Linked DNA regions of Caenorhabditis elegans. The protein of the gene in region 3 interacts with the protein of the main gene of each other region in a pairwise test. Each region holds a gene or a part of one and is shown on either strand. Other genes may lie near its edges. The genes, in order: npp-14, C27F2.10 and puf-8.

Evidence for each region.
Region 1: the proteins of puf-8 (region 3) and npp-14 interact in a two-hybrid assay, tested with the Caenorhabditis elegans proteins (one study listed by BioGRID).
Region 2: the proteins of puf-8 (region 3) and C27F2.10 interact in a two-hybrid assay, tested with the Caenorhabditis elegans proteins (one study listed by BioGRID).

The regions. Positions count from the first base shown.
Region 1 is NC_003279.8:9,658,944-9,668,433, forward strand, and holds npp-14 (Nuclear pore complex protein 14), read right to left. Parts: upstream 5,973-9,490; 5' UTR 5,971-5,972; coding exon 5,785-5,970; intron 5,741-5,784; coding exon 4,795-5,740; intron 4,725-4,794; coding exon 4,607-4,724; intron 4,559-4,606; coding exon 3,742-4,558; intron 3,694-3,741; coding exon 2,595-3,693; intron 2,456-2,594; coding exon 1,851-2,455; intron 1,800-1,850; coding exon 1,398-1,799; 3' UTR 1,231-1,397; downstream 1-1,230. Other genes in the region: asfl-1 (putative histone chaperone asf-1-like protein), read left to right, coding at 406-576, 626-776, 874-884; C03D6.9 (Aa_trans domain-containing protein), read right to left, coding at 1-85; cel-1 (mRNA guanylyltransferase), read left to right, coding at 6,368-6,448, 6,497-6,679, 6,731-6,931, 7,130-7,355, 7,402-7,529, 7,577-7,704, 7,755-7,899, 7,944-8,009 and 5 more. UniProt on the Caenorhabditis elegans protein: May serve as a docking site in the receptor-mediated import of substrates across the nuclear pore complex. Plays a role in apoptosis by tethering caspase ced-3 to the nuclear membrane preventing its autoprocessing in absence of ced-4.
Region 2 is NC_003281.10:4,983,393-4,989,740, forward strand, and holds C27F2.10 (PCI domain-containing protein 2 homolog), read right to left. Parts: upstream 3,507-6,348; 5' UTR 3,482-3,506; coding exon 3,435-3,481; intron 3,394-3,434; coding exon 3,303-3,393; intron 3,253-3,302; coding exon 3,109-3,252; intron 3,032-3,108; coding exon 2,738-3,031; intron 2,689-2,737; coding exon 2,544-2,688; intron 2,493-2,543; coding exon 2,316-2,492; intron 2,271-2,315; coding exon 2,147-2,270; intron 2,096-2,146; coding exon 1,972-2,095; intron 1,857-1,971; coding exon 1,761-1,856; 3' UTR 1,627-1,760; downstream 1-1,626. Other genes in the region: putative F-box protein C27F2.7, read right to left, coding at 1,037-1,082; wdr-60 (WD Repeat protein), read left to right, coding at 3,876-3,910, 3,952-4,192, 4,261-4,383, 4,684-4,780, 4,965-5,236, 5,280-5,400, 5,748-5,889, 6,028-6,100 and 2 more.
Region 3 is NC_003280.10:7,294,148-7,301,080, reverse strand, and holds puf-8 (PUM-HD domain-containing protein), read left to right. Parts: upstream 1-2,833; 5' UTR 2,834-2,851; coding exon 2,852-2,974; intron 2,975-3,107; coding exon 3,108-3,393; intron 3,394-3,439; coding exon 3,440-3,533; intron 3,534-3,579; coding exon 3,580-4,446; intron 4,447-4,490; coding exon 4,491-4,654; intron 4,655-4,703; coding exon 4,704-4,777; 3' UTR 4,778-4,966; downstream 4,967-6,933. Other genes in the region: C30G12.1 (uncharacterized protein), read right to left, coding at 1-125, 238-489, 546-700, 746-882, 1,089-1,197, 1,245-1,345, 1,394-1,510; C30G12.6 (uncharacterized protein), read left to right, coding at 5,066-5,348, 5,396-6,034, 6,083-6,316, 6,369-6,556, 6,602-6,762, 6,810-6,933.

The DNA.
Region 1 (9,490 bases), on a different chromosome or scaffold from region 3:
AAATGTATGTAGCGCCTCTGTAGTTGCTATTTTTGGTCGCTACACTAGCATGAGTTGAATTATTTTGCGCTGCAGTAGCTTTCATTTTCACAATCTGAAGGAAATAAATAAATATTATTAAACGAGCAATGAAACTAATGAAATAATTAAAAATAAAGAACGAAAAATAGTTGAGAGTGAGACAATGACAATGAGAGAACTGAATACGTTGTGCACGCTACCTGTCGAGCAGATGGACATCATCGATCGGGCTCACGCACACAGATGTACTGTATGGGATGACGTAATAAACCATCTGTTGTGGAAAGAGGGAAAAAGTGAAATGCTCTAAATTAATCTCAAAGTTCCTTCAGTTAAAAAATGTAGATAATTCAGTTTTGACCTTGAATTTTCAAAAATTTTCAGCTTTCCCGTAAAATCGAAACCGAAGATCTTCGCGTCACCACATTCCCAATTCGGTGGACTGATGAGGATCCAGTCGCCGAGCCGGTTGATGAAGAGGCAAACAAAGTATTCGATGAGGATGATCTTATGCCATTGCATGATGATGGGCAGGATGATGACGAGGAGGAAGAGGTGGGTAGAATCTAGCATTATCTGAATATAATAATTTACTGTTATTCAGGACGATGATGAGACGGGTCCCAATACTGAAGAAGTTGACTTGAACGAGAGCTTCAACGAACGAATGGCGAATGCACATGACGGAACGGAGCAAAAGAACGGAGAAGAAAGTATGGAACACGATGGAGCAAGTGGAGATGTTGAAATGGGTGGTAAGTGATACTTTCAATCATAAGTTAGATTGATTTTAATTATTTTTTGTTTTGTCTGTATCTCCCTATGATTGTAGATAATCAACTTTTTGTTCAGATAAACACTGATACGAAAGCTACCGAATCGATGGTCGATCCCCTTTCCGATACAACAAAACGCGATTTCAGATCTGGTTAATTTGTATTTAAATATTGCTTTCTTAACTTGCATTTTTATTCATCTCCGATACTCACTATCAGTTACTGTAAGATTTTTGAATTGCATCTAAAATTACTTCACTTTTTATTCAAAGTGTCATATATGTCAAATTGCCTTTAAAGGAGATTTTAGTTTTCTGAAATGAAGTTGCTTTCCGTTCGTTTTAATCTGTGGATATGTATCATTTTTGAGGAGTGTTTTCGGCTGGCTTTGTTTCCGCCCCTGGAAGTTGAAGGATAGATAATTCTAAAGAAGCTTAATTGACAAAATTTATGAAAATGAATATTCAAAAACACGACAGACAACAAAATAACCGGTCCGAGATAATCAATAAAACAAGTACTTGGGAAAATAATTGGGGAGATGGACTATAAACTACAATTAAAGTTTGATGAATCAATATGTTAGACATTAAAAATATATTATCGCCATGATGTGAAAGATGTCGGTTTATTGGCATTGGCAGATGCTCCTCCTCCAAACACAGAAGATGTCGGAGCTGGAGTTGTGTTAGCTCCACCACCGAAGATAGAAGTATTCGTCTGTGGAGTTGCACCTCCACCGAACAAAGATGAAGTCTTCTGGCCTGATGCAAATTGAGCAAATCCACCAGTGGCAGGGTTGTTGGTTGTGGAAGATGTTGCTCCTCCGAAGATTGAAGCATTTTTAGATAATCCTGCATTCGCCCCTCCTCCGAATGGTTTAGCACCAAATGCTGGTTGCGATCCGAATTTCGGAGCTCCTCCAAAAACTGACGACGTTCCTGTTGCAGGTGCAGATGCTTGTTGAGCTGACGATCCGGCAGTGTTGAAAGAAAACGACGGCTGAAATAGGAAATAAATGCTTACAATACAATGAGACTCTTGAAACGATACTTTTTGCTGTTGCTGTTGTTGTTGATTACCACCACCACCAAAAAGCCATGAACTGCTACTGGCTGATGTCCCAGTTGACGTCTTCGGTGCAAACGGATTATTTCCACCAGAAGTGTTGGATGTTCTCGCATTTCCAAGTCCACTCATAAAACCTCCAGAACCTCCACCATTTGCCATTGAATCGTCTTCCATTCCATCATCCACATTTGGAACTGTAGGCGCAGTCACTGAACCTCCGAAAACGGAGGATGGTTTAGCAGAGGCGCCTGCACCGAAAGATCCAAACCCTGCCGGCTTTGCTGATGCCGACGTTGCTCCAGTATTAAACGAAAAAGTCACAGAAGCAGTAGATGTTGCAGGGTTCGAAGTTTTAGCCGGTTGGCAACCAGCCTGTCCAAAACTTCCAAATGGAGAGCTTGCTGCTTTTGAGCCACCTCCAAAAATACTTGACGTGTTCGATGCAGGTGTAGGGGTGGCCGTTGTTGTGGTTCGAGCTCCAAAAATATTTGTTGAGTTGGAAGAGCTGGGAGTTTGAGTTTTAAGACCACCGCCAAAGATCGATGAGGTGGAGGAAGTCGACTTTGGGGTAGTTGTTGAGTTGAACGCTGAAAGTAATTTTTTTAAATTTCAGTTGATTAAAGTATGGAAACAATACATTTATAATGTTCATATAATTACATCGATTTAATCGAATATCATTCTTTGGTTGAAACTCATTTTTTTAACAACAAAAAAGGAACTTACAAAAACTTGGTGTTTTTTGTATATTACTTCCCGTTTCCTCTTCTTTCACTGGAGTCTGAACAGCTGGTTTTGGCTCCTCTTTCACTTTTGTTTCTAATGATTTAGGCTCTTCAGACTTCAAGTCAGGTGTAACTTCATTTTCAGATTTTTCATCTTTTACTTCTTCAGTTTTATTCAGTGTCTCCACTTTCGAGGATGCTTTTTCGATTTCTTGTGGACTGATGCTCAGGGAACTGTTAATCAAAGAAGGCACTCCAGTTGTTAATGTAGACTCTTCTTTGGAAACTAAAGGTGTTTGTGTTTTTGTTCCAAACAAACTACCCGAAGAGAAAATGGAAGATGATGCTGGCGTAGAAATGATTGGTTTTTGATCTTGTGTTTTATTTGCTTCTTCTTTTGGAACTGTTACTTTTGGTGTCGTCATTGTTGTGGTCGCAGTTGTTGTATTGAGCTTTATCAATGGCGAAGAGACAGCTGGAGCAGAAGCTATTGGCTTTGCTGGTGATTCAACTGTTACCACGACAGTTTTAACAATAGGAGGTTCATCGGCTTGAGTTGCTGCATCTGATTTAGTGGATGGTGTAGATGGAGATGCAGAGAATAGTGAAGAAGATGGCATAACTCGTCTTGGTGTCATACTCAACTTGAGAATTGCATTTGAAAGATTTGAAGTATCGAGCAAATCATTTTTCATTGCTGCCGAATTTTCTGACTTTTTATAAGACTCCACGATGACGTTTCTAGTCTTCACAATTCCTCGTTTTTGAATTTGATTCACAAGTGCTTGTCTTACTTTGATACTTTCTGCATCAGTGAGAGATTTTCCTTGAGGAGCGTCTCCATCTAGACTACTCATCTCCAGTGGTTGCGTGAAGTTCAGATTTTCCTTTCCCTTCTTGAAGTTTTGAAATTTGACGTCCCTTTGGAAACGGACAAATTCTAATTCAGTTCGCTGAATTTGCTCTCGGGTATCCATGATGATTTTTGAGACGTTGCGCATAACTTTAAGAGCCAACTCGGTTTCACTACCGGAGCGAAGTTGATTGAGATTTGAACTGAGACGAAGTGGTGACAATATTGCCTGTTTTCGAAGTGACTCCTGTAAAAATTATATTAAAATAAGTAAAAGTAAAGAAACGATGCAAACCTTCTCAGACAAGCTCATTCTCAGTTTTTTAATCAAATCGCTACATTCTTCATATTTTCCATTTAACAAATCGGCAGCAGTCTCCAGTTTGTTGAATCTCATCAGCTTCTCAGTTTCTGACATATTTCTGAGCTTCTCTAAAACTTGATTGCCATCTTCCACTCCGGCAACTAATTCCATTTTTTCGTCGATTTCAAAATCCATTTCCTTCACCGTGTGTTGTGTTCTGTCAGACATTCGCTCGATCGACAAAATTAGATTTTTCAGTTCGTCCATAACTTCTTTAGAATCTCCTAATGATGCCCTAACCACATCAGCACATTCCATAATTGTAGTTTTCACTTTTCCCACAGCAAATGATAATTTCATCGTAGCATCTTTAGCTCCAGCCATTGAATCATTGATTTTATCCATTCTTTCGATAAGAACCTGCTTTTTGGTTGCAATCAGTTCAGCCTTTTTATGTTCCAAAGTTTTGTCTGAAATTTTCGGAATTGCTTCTGATTTTGGTGTTGACGCAATTTTTGGTTGGGAACTTGGAGCTGCCGGAGTTGATGGCTTGGATTCTGTTAACTGTGATGTCTCAATGTTGCTTGCGATTGATTTAGGGTTAAAAAGTGATGATGAAGGTTTAGGTGTCTGAACAGATGATGGAGATCCAACAAGAGATGATTTTAGAGTTTCAGCTTCTGGTTTTTGCCCAAACACCGTAGACGGTTTTGTAACGGGTGTCTGATCAGAAGGTGGAGCAGATATGGGTTTCTGTGAATCAAATTGGAGCTTCTTTAAGTCATTGATCGCCAAATTTTGACTGGACCTGAAAAAGATAATATTATTATATTCATCAAATTTTATTACTACGTACATTTGACAAGGGATATGAGCTGCAAATGTGCTAATGATGTGATGAGCAGTGAGAATGCCGTCGTTTGTTAAACAAAGTACGAGAGGAGATGGGCGATGTCTCTGAGAGCCGTCAGGATCTGAAAAGAATGAATACATTTGTAGAAAAATAGTTTCGAAATTAATGAAACCGTAAAAAACATAACGTACTGAGTAAAACCTCATCTGTCATTGAACGATCAACCGCAACTCCAATTGGAACTGTATCTTTACCACTAGACGTAGTTGGCAAGTAAATACTTTCTCCTTCAACAGGAACCCATGTTTGCCAGTCATCTCGTTTTCCAACTGTTGATATTTCACTTGTTTTCGAATTTCCGACAATTACAACATTCCAGTCGACAAGAAGTTGAGTAGCTGGGAACAGTTGAGGAGGAAGAGGCCATTTGGAAGAGGAATACGAGAGCTCGTGAAATTGAATCCATTCGGTTGGTTTATCTTTTTTACACCGCATTAGGTAAGCATCTTGATCTGTTCCATTTTCAAGAGATACCAGCCATTCTGTTGTAGCCAACCAACATAAACCAGTAATTCTTCCATAGTTCGGCTTGTTCTCCGGTCCATGCTGACTACGAACAACCTCCAATTCGGGTTTCAACTGCACAATTTTTCCCAGCGAATCTCCAATCGTCAACTGTTTTCCTTTTGGACTCCAACTGATTGCCGTGGTGACAGCACCAAATTTTCCGATTCCAACAAGTTTTTGATTTGCAGGACTTTGAACATTAATCTTGGCGACTAAAATGCTACGATCTGTTGAAGAAGCAGCAAATGTATCTGGGAAAGCAGGATTCCACTCGAGACAACTTCCTTGATTAATTTGTTCAGTTCCAACTCTTGTAGTACACAACGGCTTGAAGGGTTCAATGCTTGAACTTGTACAAATTTTCTTAATATCGAAAACATCGACAGAAACGTCATTGTTTTTAGTATGAAGAACTCCGAGAACTGTTCCATCAGAATTAACTCCCATGTCGTTGATTAAAACGACCCCATGAAGACGAATTGTTTTTATTGGTAGATCCGTAACTTCAACGTTCATATTTTCTCGGGTGATTTTGTAACCAAGAAGACTTTTTGTATGGAAGCATGATAACTGAAAAATAATTTTGAAAACGATTGAACAAGTCATAATTTTACCTGATTAGAATTAACTGTTACAAAGGTAACTCCCAATTGAGATGACGTAGCAACTCGGTTTCGAATGTTTATCTCATTTTGACTGTACCCATCTGACTTTGATGAAAAAAGCCGAAACTTCCGGCAAGTGTGGAAATGAAAGTCGGTGACTTGAGAAACGTCTTCAGCAACATCTTCGTTCGACATCTCTGAAAACACGAAAAATAGATGTAAAAAAAATTGAGGAGAAAATGTTCAAAAGGATGTCTGGCATAAGAAAAAACGGGCATTCAAAAACCGATCAAGAGCTTTTTGAACAAATTCAGAGGATGTATGTTCTTTAATATAGATAAGGAGTTAAAAAATATAGTATTTTCTTTCAATTAATAAAAAACAAACGTTTATTTTGAAACACTTCGAAAATTCTTTAAATTCGCCAAAATACAACTGGAAACGCGTAAGCTTGCACTCAAAGTGCGCCAGCTGTCAAAAAGTGCGCCAGCACGCGTCCGTTTCGTGAGGTTAGCGAAATTGCGAAACATTTTATCGGATTCCTTGTTTTCTCCATCGATTTCTGTGCGTTATTGCCTTAAATTGACTGAAAATGGCTACACGAGGACCAACACCTGACAAAGCGAGAATGGGACTGCCTGATAGATGGCTGCACTGTCCAAAAACCGGAACGGTCTGTGCAAAATCTGAGATTTCGGTTGTTCATTGTTCTCATTTTCAGCTTATCAATAATTTGTTTTTCCCATTCAAAACACCACTGTGTAAAATGTATGACAATCAAATTGCCGAAAGACGGTATCAATTCCACCCGGCAGAAGTTTTTTCACATCCTCATCTTCACGGAAAAAAGATTGGGTTGTGGATCGACCTCACAAACACTGATCGTTATTATTTCCGCGAAGAAGTATGAAATTCAATTAAAAAAATAAATTTGTAACAAAACGATTATGTTCAGGTTACCGAACACGAATGTATCTATCATAAAATGAAAATGGCTGGACGTGGAGTGTCGCCGACTCAGGAGGACACGGACAACTTCATTAAACTCGTTCAAGAATTTCATAAGAAATATCCAGATCGTGTTGTCGGAGTGCATTGCACTCACGGATTCAATCGAACAGGATTTTTAATCGCTGCATACCTATTTCAAGTAGAGGTATTTACTGTTTAGTTCATCATGACAATCCAACTGTTTAATTTTCGAGAAGCTAAAAATTTATGTACTCATTTATTGGAATCAACGCATGATATTTTGTTGAGAAGTGTCTAATTAAATACGTTTCTTTTTGAATCAGAAAAAGCTCAGAGAATAAAAAGTTGATTATCTTTTTTAAACTGACAGGATATTTTTAAGGAATATGGTCTCGATGCTGCAATCGGAGAGTTTGCTGAAAATCGACAGAAGGGAATTTACAAGCAAGACTACATCGATGATTTATTTGCAAGATATGATCCCACAGAAGATGACAAAATTCTGGCTCCCGAGAAGCCAGACTGGGAACGAGAAATGTCTATTGGCATGAGTACACAAATTGACAACGGACGACCATCGACAAGCCAACAAATTCCCGCAACGAACGGTTTGTCTTCAATTTCAAGCCTTAACGTTTAAATAATTTTATTCAGGAAATAATAATCAAAATGGAAATCAATTGAGCGGAGGAGGAGATAATTCGAAATTGTTCATGGACGGATTAATTCGAGGAGTTAAAGTGTGTGAAGATGAAGGGAAGAAGAGCATGCTTCAAGCCAAGGTATATCATTTTCTCACAATTCTTTAGCTGTATAGTTTTTTCTTTAGATTAAAAATCTCTGCAAATACAACAAACAAGGATTTCCGGGTCTCCAACCCGTATCTTTGAGCCGTGGAAACATAAACTTACTCGAACAGGAATCATATATGGTATCATGGAAAGCTGATGGCATGAGGTTAGTGAATATTCTTTAAAATTTCATTTAAAGATTTTTTAAAATTTTAGGTACATCATTTATATCAACGATGGAGATGTCTATGCGTTTGATCGTGATAACGAGGTTTTTGAGATTGAAAATCTTGATTTCGTGACAAAAAATGGTGCACCATTGATGGAAACCCTTGTGGATACTGAAGTCATCATTGATAAGGTATGAAAACTCATAATTTATGAATGAATTATTTGTTTTCTCAGGTTGAAATCAATGGAGCCATGTGTGATCAGCCTCGAATGTTAATCTATGATATTATGCGATTCAATGTAAGTTGATTTCAATCGGAAAGAAAATGTATTATTCGTTTCCAGAGCGTTAATGTGATGAAAGAGCCATTTTATAAACGATTTGAAATCATCAAAACTGAAATTATCGACATGAGAACTGCTGCATTCAAAACTGGACGCCTGAAGCACGAGAACCAGATTATGTCTGTCAGAAGAAAAGATTTTTATGATCTTGAAGCAACTGCTAAATTATTTGGACCGAAATTTGTGCAGCATGTCGGACACGAAATTGATGGTCTCATTTTCCAGCCGAAGAAAACTGTGAGAATTAAAATTAAATTTTGAACGTGTTTGAGAATGATATTTTACAGAAGTATGAAACTGGAAGATGTGATAAAGTTCTGAAGTGGAAACCACCATCTCACAACTCTGTTGATTTTCTACTGAAAGTTGAAAAGTAAGTTTCTAAAGAGGAAATTGAAGGGTATCAAGAGAATAATCGAATTGCAGGAAATGTAAAGAAGGAATGCTTCCCGAATGGATTGGATATTTATTTGTCCAGAATCTTTCCGATCCATTTGGCACAATGAAAGCAACGGCAACTCTCAAAAAGTATCATAATAAAATTATCGAATGTACACTGCTGGTTGATAATCAAGGACGGGTAAACATTATTTTTTGATGCAAATCTATGTTGAAATTAATATTAGTTTTTAATTTGGTTACTTTTTTTCAGCCAAAAGAGTGGAAATTTATGCGAGAAAGAACAGATAAATCGTTGCCGAATGGATTACGAACTGCGGAAAATGTCGTTGAAACTATGGTGAATCCTGTCACTGAAACCTATTTAATTGAGTGAGTTAATTTATAAAAAAATAAATAAACGGAGTATCATAATTAAAATTTTTTGATCTTCGGCACGTTTTCAAAATTTTCAGTCAAAGTTTTTGGAAAAACTGGATCTTTTTGGGAATTTCTGGTTTTTTTAATGCAGGGCAGTTTCTAAAGGTTAAATCAAGGCTGAATCCGGAAAAAAACTTTTTTACGGAAGTTACGTTAATTTGTTGTTTTTAAAAAAGATACTTCAATCATATATTCACTGTGGAAAAAATTGTATAATTTTACAATTAATTAGTTTTTTTAGTTAGCAAAAGATTAAACAAACATCGAAAATATTTAGAAACAAACATTTTCGAAAATTTCATCAAATTTTGTTAATATTGATGAAACGAAACATAAAGAAGCATACACCTAATTGTATTATATTCGAACTTTTTGCATAAAAAAATTAATTATTTTGAAATAGTTTTACTAAGATATTTAGTAAGTATAACAAATGTTTTAAACAATATTCGCATTGATCGTACTAAATCTATAAGACTTAACATATATTTTGCTTCCTCAGGTATGTAAATCACGCTCTCCGAGTTTTGAAAAGAGCTGCAGCAGCTCATCGCCATCATCAAATACACCAACAACAACTCCATGAGGGAGAACCGGAAGCAAGAAGACAAAAACTC
Region 2 (6,348 bases), on a different chromosome or scaffold from region 3:
TATGAACTTTTGAAAATTATTTTGCATCACAAAATCTGCCAGAAAAATCGCTGAAAATTTGGGATTCTGGCACATTTTAAAGGAGATTGGTCCAAAATGTTGGATTTTTCTCATTTTTTCTTATTTTTCAAATGATATTTTTGGAGTTTCAGATATTTTTTCTAGTATTTGAAATCGAACTCTACATTCCCCGCTACTACTCATTTAAGAAGAAAGATTATTTCACTGCTAAAAATGAAAGTATGAAAGATTATTGAATATTCCGCCCCAACTAAATAAAAAATTGAAAGTTCGCTCACTTTTATCTGTATTCATTTCCGGGAAACTTGATAGGAAACATAAATATTTAAAAATTTAGAAATAATCAACAATTCTAGCCACTTTCGCTTCTCCCACGAACGTTTGAAGACGAAAAATGAAAAAAAAGTTACGTCACATTCCCGGTTTTCAAACTTTCACGTTAAAAATTCATTAGGAAGTAATTGTCTTGTTTTTGAAGGGTTTCTAATGGTTCTTCGGTATTTAATTGGTTTTTCTTACAGTAATTAGTATAAACAGCATTTAAAAAATGTCAAAATCTTTTAAAAAAACCGACAATTTTCGTACAATCATACATCATATCTGTGTGGGCTTTTTCCTTGAAAACATGCGTTAATTTTATGCTCTCGGCTTTTCTGTTCACTATGAAAAATAGCAATTAACTGGACAAAGAAAACGCTCGTTTTTTATGGTTTCCGTCACCTATTTTTGAATTTTCTGACATCGAATATGTATTAAAGAAACAGGAAATAAAGAACGACGAGGCGAGGATTTCCGAAATTGAAGATGAACTTTGATGCAATGAAATTTCTTAATATAAATTTGTTTTAGATCATGGAAACTACAAATTGTTGATTTTTCGCCATATTTAGTTCAATATTTGCTTTTTCTCTGTTCAAATACGGAGAGTTTCACTGACTAACAACTTACATTCGAAGGTTTTTATTTTGAACTCAATTTAGACAATAAATTTGCAAAATGAAAGAAAAAACCTTACTTGCATCAATAAACGAGAGCCCTCTTCGTTTTTGTTGCACCGCCATCGTCGTCGCCTGACGCACCTGCAAATTCAATTTTTAGTCACACTGGATTGAAAGTGATTTCCATTAAAATAAGAGAATTACATAAATAGACTTAAAAATATTTTTCCAGGAAGACAAAAACTCAATTTGTGTTTATGGTGCGTCCATAGTCTGCGAAAAAACCGGAGTTCCTCGCTTTTTTCTCCTCAAAATTCAAGAAAGTAGGCGTGGCCAACCAATCAGCTGTTGTTTCTTGTTTTCCCATTGCTCAGCTTAAAATTTTACAGCCTCTAATTGGTTGAACACGTCCACTATTTTGAAATTGACCAATAACAAAGCGAGAAACGCCTTGTTTTTTTCCTATGGACGCTTCCGCACGCGGGAAATTCCCGTTTTCCGCAGACTATGCACCATTAATTTGATCGGAAAAACACCAATTTGGCGGCGAACCAGGTGAAACGAGAATTGTCGTCAAATGAAATGTAATGTCTGCAATTGGGTACTGTAGACTTTAAAGGTGCATGATGAAATCTCGAAAGTTTGCTACGCAAAAATGCAGACATTTGTTTTCAATGTTTTTATTTTCTTAACGGGAATTGCCCATTTCCATGTTCTTTAATATTTTTCTCTGTGGTAGCTGAAAAAAAATGAAATAAAAACGAATAGAAAACACAATAAGGCACATAATAAATCGTAAGATCAATTAGAAGAGACACCAGAAAGCGTGGGGAATGCATTCATCTTTGAGATTACCAGTTTTTGATGTTGATGAGACAGATATCCTTTGATTTTCTTCTGCAAAACATATACGGATTAGGTTTTGAGGTGCAAAAAGTTTAAAGGCATCAGATTAAGCACAAAATGATACGCGAAAGAAATTATTGGGTTAATTTTTACTTTGTGCACTTACCGAAGCAATAAGATTTGCAATAATGCATTCCAATTCATCCATATCAACATCAGTGACTCCAACAAAGCGAAGAGCAGTTTGAAAAGCATCCAAAGGAATTTGAGCAGTTCCGACTATCTGACTTCTAAACAGAAAAAAATTATCAATAAACATGAAACCTTAATTTAACTCTTACACTTTTTTGAAAAGAGTTCGGAACGTGATCATTCGCAGCTTTTCAAGCATCAGAAAGATTCCACACTTGATGAAAAATGCTTCGTTAGCTGCAAGAGCTCCATCGAGTTGAGCCAAATTTCCATCTGAAAACGTTTCATGTTCAAATGTTGTTTTTTTTAAGTTGAAACCTTTTACACCAGCCACAACATCTTGAAACTCATCAAGTCGATACTCATGGAGAAGCTGGGATGTTGGCATGTGACCAAGAAACATTTTCACAGGAATTAAATAAATCAGAATCTTTCGCTTGTTCGACATACTGTCAGCTGGGCAGTTCCTGAATGCGTAGAGCAGAGATTTCTCGGCTGAAAAAAATGTATTGAACTCAAGATTTCAGATTTTAAAGAAAACCATACCCAGATTCAAATCGGCATCAAACATTGCTTTTCTACCAAGGAAATAGTTGTAAGCTACTTTATCCGACATCAAAAAATCATGATACAATGACCCACAATTATCGATTGCCCGGATCAATGGCTTCAGGAGATTCAGCTTATTTATCTAAAAATTATAATTACAATTCAAAAAAATTGAAGAAAGCATCAAACACCTGAAAATAAATTTGGAATAGCTGATTTGTCATATTCAACATTGCCACTTTCTTCGTGGTTCCCTCTTCGGCATGAACATCCGAAACACAAGTTCTGTAGCATTCTGTGATCGCTTTGGCGGCACTTTCAAAAAATGAATTCGCATTTGAATCTCCTTCATCATCACCAGACACGCATGCTTCTGCGCCTTTACTGAGCCATCTCAAATCAGTGCACAATCGATAGAAAATTGGAAGAAACCAGTTTTCGTCTTTTCGCTTTTGAAGAATCTCTTTGTTGAATAGTTGAATAATCTGCAAAGACAGCTCTTTTGAAAGCCTTTTTCGACTTTTTTTTCCAAATTCTATATTTCAAAAAACAATGAAATTACCTGAATCTGTGTCGACTGAGCCGTGATGAGATCTTGGGCCACGTGGATATTGTAGAGAACATGAAGATGCAAACAGACGATTTCATCGAAAACCTCATCTTCTGATACTCTGCATCGTTTTGATCTCGAACCGTACGCTTCAATCTGAAATTTATTCAGATTTCCAACAAATAGAAGATTCCAGATTCGCATACATGCATAAACGGTTCCTGTGCGTGCTCATCGTAAGTCGACACAAACTTTGAAATTTTCTCTCCATTTGTCCAGTCTTGTCGGTAAAGGAGGCTGAAAAATCACACATTTTTGGGTAAAAAACACTCAACTACCTCTCAATCTGACCAAAGTAGTCTTCAATACTTCTTACTGACGGCATTTTAACTATATTTCAGCTGCTGAAACTGAAAATGAATTAATTTTTGTCCTGCGCGCGCTAAATTCGTCAAAAAAAATTCAAAGAGGAGAAATGGCCGATTTTACCCTCCCCGCAAAACCTCGTCCGCGAGAGAAAAAAGCGCGGAAGTTCAAAACAAAAAAAAACAGTTGAGTTGATTTCCTTGGGTTACTGTTAAACAAGAATGGTATTTCGCATTTTTATGTCTAGAGATTCATAAAGTAAATTATTTTCACTGAGAAAGTCTCGAAAGTTTGAAGAAAGAAAGATTAGGGCAATCTTGTTGAAAATGGTCACCATAGCAACTAAAATGTGCAGCATTTGAACCACCCGAAAATCGAAGAAAGATTTCATTTTATTCCATTTTCTATGAAAAATGTCATCGAAAAGTAGAAGTTCGTCAAAGGAAAAGTGAGTTTTCGGGAATTTTTGGTTTTATAGTTGTGATTCAGAGATTCAAAGAAGGAGAAAAAGAAAGATAAAGAGAAATCATCGAAAGAAAAGAAAGAAAAGAAAGATAAAAAAGAAAAGAAATCAAAAACTATTAAGCCTGAGCCTGAGCCTGAACCAGTGAACGAATATGAAGATGACTTTGAAGATTATGAAGATGATTTCGAAGAAGATGATGAAGAGGAGAAAAAGGCTCCGAAAGTTGAAGAAAAGCCACAAAAGGAATCAAAAGTAGAAGCTGAGGTAGATAACGAATTTGTGATAAATCAATAGAGATACTTAGAAAAAAGATTGAAAATCAAAAGTTGCAGGTTTCATTTGAAAGTAATATCATGCAACGATTAGCAACAAGTCACATGAGAAGAACAGAAGCTTCTCCTAAACCAACAATTGCTCCAAAGATTTCAAATGCACAAATTACTGTTCAATCTACGGTAAGCTAAAAAAAATTCAAAAATTATTGATTTTCTTTAAAATGTTACCGTAACTTTGCTCGAAGACGCATAGTTTTATTCGGATGGGTCTCGACGCGAAAAAAGTTTATGGTAGTACTTTTTTATTTTTTCTATTTAATTTGAAAAGATGCACCTAGGTACAACTAAAATACTGAAAAATTGTTTAAAAATCAAGAAATATTGAAAAAAAAAAGATTAGACAAAAAATTTTTAATGTTCCAAAAAACTGTACGATAAAATTTTTCGCGGTGAGACTTATTTGAAAAGTAATAACTTCAGATTGACAATAAACCATATTCATATCACAATGAAGAAGAACGTCAGACACAAGAACAACGAGCATTTGGAAGATTAAACAAGCTTCGTGGACTTATCAGTAAGATTTTTATTTTTTATTTTATGAATAACTTCAACTGGCTTTAAAATATCATGCATTGACAATCTCCTATTATGAATGTGTAGTATTTAAAGATTTTTGAAATATTGTAACTTCAAAACTTTCAGAATCGCTTACTCAAACGCGCAGGTATTTACTCATACAGTAATCCTAACTTTTTCAGGTATCGAAGTAACAAAAAGTCAGGTCTTTACGGATTTATCTTCCAATATTTTTGAACCATTCAATTCCCTTCCATCAAATAAATCGCATGCCCTAACACAAACTGGAAAAGATTGTCATACAGAAGAAGTACAGACTGAGAGAGGAGAGACAGAAGAGAAAGAGACACAATGTCCACATTCAGAGAGTACACGAATTGAAGATGGAATAGAGAAAGAGAGAACATCAACTGATAGAGCCAGATTGAAGAAGTTCTTTTTTGCTGCAACACAGGTTTCATATCTGAGTTTGGAGGAAGAATCATTAAAAGTTTCAGACAATTCGAGAAATTCTCATCAGCGAGGATAAATCTGCCGAGGAAGATGAAACGAGGGAAAAGTCAATTTCTAAGTTTTCCAGGGGATATAATCCATTCCGACTTTGTCAAGTTGTCACTAGTGAGTTTTCGAAGTTTACAAGCCCGGCATTTGAGTGCAACTTTCTTTCGAACTTTGGCAACTTACTGACGAAGTTTGGTAATTTCTTGTCAATTTTTTGCATCTTTCGGCCAAATTTTGCCAACTTTCTGCTGAACATCGTAAATTTACAACTGACAACCTTCTGACAAACCTTGGTAAACTTTCTGCCAATACTTTGGACAGTTCATTCCTAACTGCCAAACTTTGACGACTTCAGCTTAAGTTTCAAAAAGTCGGTGACAGAGAGCTACATAGCTCAGCTGAGCATCATTGCAAAGTTCTATTACTTTCATGCGTTCTCCTTTTATGTGATAAAACGTTTTCAGAAAGTAAATCCACGTGTATCCGAAAAGGAGAATCAGACAGTGTACTAGTTGCTTATGAGATTTTTGAATCTCCCGCTCCTGATCTTATCAACAAGAGTCTTATTGTAGAGTTTTTCGTCCACAAAAGACGCCCACCAAAGAGGTAGGTTTGTGTTTTATTGAAAATACGGTACATGGTCTCGCAACGAACGAGATATTTCAAATTGAGGGCGCACAAAAAAAGGTGTACAGTAACCCACCCGCAGTTATCGATCATGATCTAGCTATTTCTTATTTTCAGACTTTTTGTGGTGGAAAGTATTGTGTCAGTGATGGAATTGAGTCAATCATCCCAGATTCTATATGTGTGTCTGGTAAATTTTAATAGTAAAACATGTCAGAATAAAATAAAGCTTCCAATGTTCAGATGGATGGAACATTCTGTGCATTTGATCTATCAATTACTGACGCATTCTTTGATGATAATCTTCCATGGGTTGGTGAGTATTATTAAATGCCACAACGAAGTCATATCTCTACTCAAATATTAACCATATATATTTGTAATTGAAGACTCGGAAACCAACATTGCTCTACGTCGTCCAACATTTGATTCTTCATT
Region 3 (6,933 bases):
AGAAGAAGCTGATGGCATTGTTGCAGGAGTCTTGGTTTTATCAAAATTTGGTTGTCTAGTTGTGGTTGAAAATGGAATCGTTTGAAGTGATATTTGTCTTGGAGTTGTGGTAGTTGTTGGAATGGCTGAAAATTGACAGCTTTAATCGGATGTTAACTTAATTTATTAATTATAAATTGCAATTTTGAAAATGTTGTATATACTGAATTTTTCAAATAGTTGTCTTGTAGATGTTACCTGTGGATGTTCTTGTTGTGGTTGTCATAGTAGTCGTGGTAATTTGAGGATTAGTTTTAGTAGTGAAAACATTGAAAACTTCTTTCTTTTTTTCTGGTTTCTGTGATTTTCTTGGTTTCATTGTTGTAAAAGTGGCTCTATACGGAGAATCAATCTTCGTAATATCAATGACTGGAGCTACTGGAACTGATGCAACGGGTGGTAATTGGGGTTTAAATTGTGAAGCAGCTAATAATTCAATCATATCCTTATCTGGAATAATGAAATGTTTAATTTTCATAACAAATATCTCGAAGAAAGGAAATCACCTTTCCCGAGTTCAAACAAATTCTGCCACGGACCTTCCATTGCAAAGAGAGGACTTTGACTAACTACTGGAAGGAATCGAGAAGTTACTGTAGAGTTAATATTCAAAAGTTTGTGAAGCATTTCACTAAAATCTCTTTGTGGTCGTGTGCCAGGCCTGAAACAAGATTATTTGAAAATGCAGAATATTGGATGAACTTACAATGGTTTCGAGCTTCTTTTGCTACGTTTCCTTTTTGATTCTCCATACATTCGTCTCATTTTAACTAACTGTATTTTCTGTTTCTCAAAGTTTGTTAATGGTCGGATAAGATGATCTCCAACGTAGACGTGATTATTCTAGAAAAAAACCGTATTTGTTAATTGTAGTAATTAAAAAGTGAAGTGACTATTTCATAGATTCTGACAAAAGAATACGGTAATTGGTCTCGAAGCGTCTTTGACCTATCAATTTCCGATCGTGTCGACCCCTGATACCGTAATATTGAAGATTTACATTAAAACCAGATGGTTCTAACTATACACAATTGGAAAAAAAAACTTACTCGAACAATACAAGAATCCAACACCACTTCAATAGAATCATCATACCCTCCACAGAATTTTGGAATTGTAGGAAACGAGGCTTCGAAAGAATCAAATGAAGATGATGAACTGTAAAACGCTTAATTTTCAAAACAATCGAGAATAGAATGACAAACTCTTTGAATGCACTTAGATCATGCTGATACGAACTAAATATGTGTAGTTCGTGATCATTCAACTTTCGCTTGGAAACACCATGAAGGAATAGGGTACTGTCCTGAAAGATTTGGAAGATATTTTCAAATTGTTTTCTACGAATGCTTACAAATACAGCACATGCTGGTCCAACATAACCATATCCAGGTTGATATTCAGGTGGTGTATTTAGAATTAGGGCATTACCAATTAAAGGTAATATAAAATAATGAAGACTTTTAACCATGGCAACCAAAGGGTACACCTAGTCAAAGACTCTATTTGGTCGTGATGAGTTCAAGTTACGAAGCAAGAACAAAGATGGGACTGTGAGGAGACAAGGGGCGTCGCTTCTCGGCACACAAACTATGGTGTTGTTCCCACGGCCGGAAGCTGCTTTACACGAACCTTATGCAATCGGACGCTCTATGTTCGTACACACACACAATACGCTCGTACGATCGGCCAGCCTGCAACCTTTTTCGATGTGAGGCTTTGTTTTCCAAAATTAAATATACACAAACAGACAAAATCTAATTCTCGTTAAAGGTCAGAAAGGGGTTGGAATGGAGATGACAATGAAATAGAGGTGGGAGGAAATTTGATACGATGGCCGGCGAACGGACGGTCGGGAAGAAAAAAAAAAACTAAATTTGTCGAGAATCTTCACGTTGTTTGCTTTTGCATGCTCTACACACTTTGAAGTTTTTGAAACGGTCATTCGACTCCCGAGAATAAAAAGATGAAGATGTATATCCATTTCATTGTAAAGAAAGAATCAAAACGGTCAAGCTATGTTAAGCACAAAGCACATGGAAAATAAATTTAGAATATTCAATACTATGCATAACAACACTCATTCATACACTTTCTGCCAGTTCTGAAGAGTTGAGAGTGAGGAAATATCGACTTTGGAGCAGGTATCTCTGAGAGCACAAGTATATTCAATTGATCTACTTAGCATTTGATCTCCAGAAAAACGGAGATTAATATAAATGCTATGTTTACATTTACTGTTACATCTACACAGGGTCTTCACTAGGTCAGCTTGGGATTCGTATAAAATTAGGTCCCTGAAGAATTAGGTCTCGCCGCGAACTCGAATCACATGGGTTTTCAGAAAATACAGTACCCGACACCATATTGAAACTACATAATCCAAGCCTACTATTTTTTCAAAAAGTCGAAAAAAATGTTTTTTCTACTCTCCTACATGCCACGCCTCCTTTCAGCATATTACCTTTTCGTATATTAAGTTTTTCACCAGTTCTCCTTTCCATGGACTCTCAAGTGCGTGCGGAACCTCAATAATTTAAAGGAACATGCATTTAATGGAGAAATGGGTTTCACCACGAACACCACGACTACGGTATTCGTTCGAAAATTATCCGAATAAATACGGAACTCCTGTTCTAAATAGTGATTTTTGATTGTTTTTCATTGTTTTCTCATTTTAATGTTCTAAATTCTCATGTGCAACTATTTTAATTAATAAAAATAAATAAAGTACGCGTTGCAATTGTTTTTTCAAGCTGAACTATGCCTCCTTGACCTAAAGTAATTATTTTAGGGGTAATCTGCGTTCCTGATGAGTCGTCCGATTTCAATTGGGAATACATGCACATTTGATCCTTCAGCTTCTCCGATTGAATCTCTTGGGAGGAGCATCGGTGCTCAGAAAATAGTGGATAGTGTATGCGGATCTCCGATTGTGAGTCTTGTTTATTGCAATATTGAAATTATTTTTTATTTTGAATAGAAATACAATGTTCATGCAATAAATCACACTGATAGATTTGCCGCAGTGTTTGTCAATTAAATTTTCAATAAAACAATGATTTCAGAGATCGTATGGCCGTCATATTTCTACCAATCCAAAAAATGAACGCCTTCCCGATACACCAGAGTTTCAATTTGCCACTTACATGCATCAAGGAGGAAAAGTAATTGGCCAGAATACATTGCACATGTTCGGAACTCCACCATCGTGTTATTGTGCTCAAGAAAATATTCCAATCAGCTCTAATGTCGGTCATGTCTTGAGTACTATCAATAACAACTACATGAATCATCAATACAATGGTTCTAATATGTTTTCGAATCAAATGACACAAATGCTACAAGCACAAGGTTAGTAAAAACATATTTCGAATATGGAAATTCTCCGTTTTTACAGCATATAATGATTTACAAATGCACCAAGCGCATTCTCAAAGTATTCGTGTACCGGTTCAACCGTCTGCCACAGGCATATTTTCAAATCCCTACAGGTTTTTTTCTAAACTCAAAAATAGTTTAAATATTTGTATATTTCAGGGAACCAACAACCACCGACGATCTTCTAACTAGATATCGTGCAAATCCAGCCATGATGAAGAATTTAAAATTATCAGACATTCGTGGAGCACTGTTGAAGTTTGCCAAAGATCAAGTTGGCTCGAGATTCATTCAACAGGAACTTGCTTCCAGTAAGGACAGATTCGAGAAGGACTCTATATTTGATGAAGTCGTTTCCAATGCTGATGAGCTCGTTGATGATATTTTCGGCAACTACGTAGTGCAGAAATTCTTCGAATATGGCGAAGAAAGGCATTGGGCTCGGCTCGTCGATGCAATAATTGATCGTGTACCAGAATACGCGTTTCAAATGTATGCCTGCCGTGTTCTTCAGAAAGCTTTGGAAAAAATCAATGAGCCACTTCAAATAAAAATTCTTTCTCAAATCCGACACGTCATCCATCGTTGTATGAAAGATCAAAATGGAAACCACGTGGTTCAGAAGGCCATAGAGAAAGTCAGTCCACAGTACGTCCAATTCATTGTCGATACGCTTCTAGAATCCAGCAACACAATTTACGAGATGTCTGTGGATCCCTACGGTTGTCGTGTTGTCCAACGTTGTCTCGAACACTGCAGTCCTTCGCAGACGAAGCCTGTTATCGGCCAAATTCATAAACGTTTCGACGAAATTGCAAATAATCAGTACGGAAACTATGTGGTTCAACACGTCATTGAACATGGAAGTGAAGAGGATAGAATGGTTATTGTTACTCGTGTCTCCAACAATCTATTCGAGTTTGCCACCCACAAGTACTCGTCGAACGTTATCGAAAAATGTTTGGAACAAGGCGCAGTTTATCACAAGTCCATGATCGTAGGAGCTGCGTGTCACCATCAGGAAGGGTATGTATATTCATGAAAAATGTAGATATAATTATTTCATTCAGATCTGTACCGATTGTTGTCCAAATGATGAAAGATCAGTACGCCAACTACGTTGTTCAGAAAATGTTCGATCAGGTTACATCAGAACAGCGCCGTGAACTCATCCTAACTGTTCGTCCACACATTCCCGTTTTGAGACAATTCCCTCATGGAAAGCACATTCTTGGTAAGATATTGCAAAGAATGATTTAATAATATTCAACCTTAATTTGCAGCAAAACTTGAAAAATATTTTCAAAAGCCGGCTGTCATGAGCTATCCATACCAAGATATGCAGGGATCTCACTAGCCCAATCAGTTTTGTACTATTCCCAACACTCAACTCCTCACAAATGTACCTTTAGTTATCTCAAATCCGGTTGTTATACCGGTTCTTTTTGTTATTCCCTGTGCATTTCTGTAGACAGCTTATCGTAATTTGTAATGTTACTCGTTTTGTAATTTTTTCCTAATCTTATTTTAGCATAAAAATTTGAAAAAAAAGTTGTTGAACATTTGTTTTAAAGATGTTTATATATCTCCCTTATATATCTTGAATTACTTGAAAACCGTTTTCGCACAAATCTAAATGTTTGAGATGGAGTCTGGTGATCATCTCGGAAATCTTTTCGATGATATGGTAGAAGAGGATAACGATGAAGATAGTTTTGAAGAACCTGCGTGTGAAGACAGTTTTGATTCTCAAGAAGCTTCATCGAAAGCTAACGAACCTCAAAACGACAGTTTCGATGAGCCTATTCAGAGCTCAGTAAGTAAACAAAGTGATGATGCAAACGGAGAAGATGAAATTAATGAAGAAGTCATACAAGAACAGAAGGAGCTGGATTTAAATGAAGAGGACTTCAATCTTTTGACGATTGGTTTGTTTGTGAGTATATATAAACGTTATAAGACAATCATGTTACAGAAGAAGTTCCGTTGGATGTTCTGACAGCTCGTATAAGAAGAGTGTTCACCGAAGTCACATATAGAGCAGAGCCTGCAGCGATAGCACTTTTTGACGTCGCACACAAAATAATTTTCAAGTCAACTATGTTAGATTGCAAACGGAATACTGTTATTGATTCGATAATTGAAGGGCTTATATCGATTATTGTTGATGAACGAGAACGAGATCAAGGTGCTGAGGAGGCCGAGCATGTACTTATGATATTCATCGCAAAACTTGCAATTAAAAACAAGTCAATGAAGTGCAGTGATCTTCTATATAAGCTGATTCTTCTTGTCGATCGTCTTTATTTGCACGCTGATTCTTTCGTTCGTTGTCGCATTTATCGACTCATCGCGTGTCTTATGGAAGAAGCGAATCGGTATGCTGATGTTATGCGGGAGCATGGAGATGACGCATTCCTCTCTGATGAAGATCCTACAGAGAGTGAAGTTATGATTCCAAGCGGAGTGAAAAACCGATGGATGGGAAAATTGGCGAAGAGTTTGTTGGACAAGTCGCCAGAAGTTAGATGTAAAGCTGTAATTGCTCTATCACTGTGGGACCACGATATTGAATGTAAAACCACATGTTGTGATGAAGTAACTGTGAATGATCGTAAGTTGGCAACACTCTTTATTAACCAGAATTCACGTTTTTTTACAGTTTTGTGGAAGAGTGTTCATGATGTTGATGAAAGTGTGCGTGTCAATGCAGCTCGTCGAGTTCACATTGCGAATGAGAACGATATTGATAAATGCATCGACTACGTCGAAACGAGCAAGGATAATCGTGTTAAACAAGCAATAATTGTGAGATTAGCATCTGATGTTTCATTGCTCTCGTTTTCTGAAAAACAAAGATTCCGGCTAGTAAATCTCTTAAACAACAGTGATAGTGGTAAGAAATATATGCTGACCAGTGTGATTCAATTGATTTAATTGATTTTCAGCTCGTGTACAGGATGTTATTCATCAACTTCTCGTCGAATCTTGGATGAAGGTGGCTGGTGATGAGATTATCTCTCCTTCTATATTTCCATTCCCGGACTCAGATAATAATAATATTCCTAAAGAATTTCCAAGTATCATACTTGAATATCTCGATCCTTTAGTTGATCCCACTGCAGTTTACGTCTTTGTAAGTTAGAAAGCTTCGGTTGATTTCCTACAAATTGAAATTCAGATGAAGTTCGCCACTGTTCGTTTCATCCAAAAATCAACCGTTCAGCAAGCATGCGGCTCTCTAGATGTTGAGAAGTTTATGAAGGATCTGCTTAGTATGACAATTCCTGATTGTGAAAGAGTTGGGCTGATGCGTCGAACAACCTTTAGGCTGATACCAAAGTGAGAAAATAATTGTTTTTCAATTTTTTTATACAGTCTTTTTCCAGAGACAATAACGATGGGAATGAGGACATAAGAAAGATTTTTTCACGAATATTCATTTCTCGGTGCTTTGTCGATGTCATTTTCAATTTCGCTAAAGGACGCCTCGACGCGACACATTTACGAAGC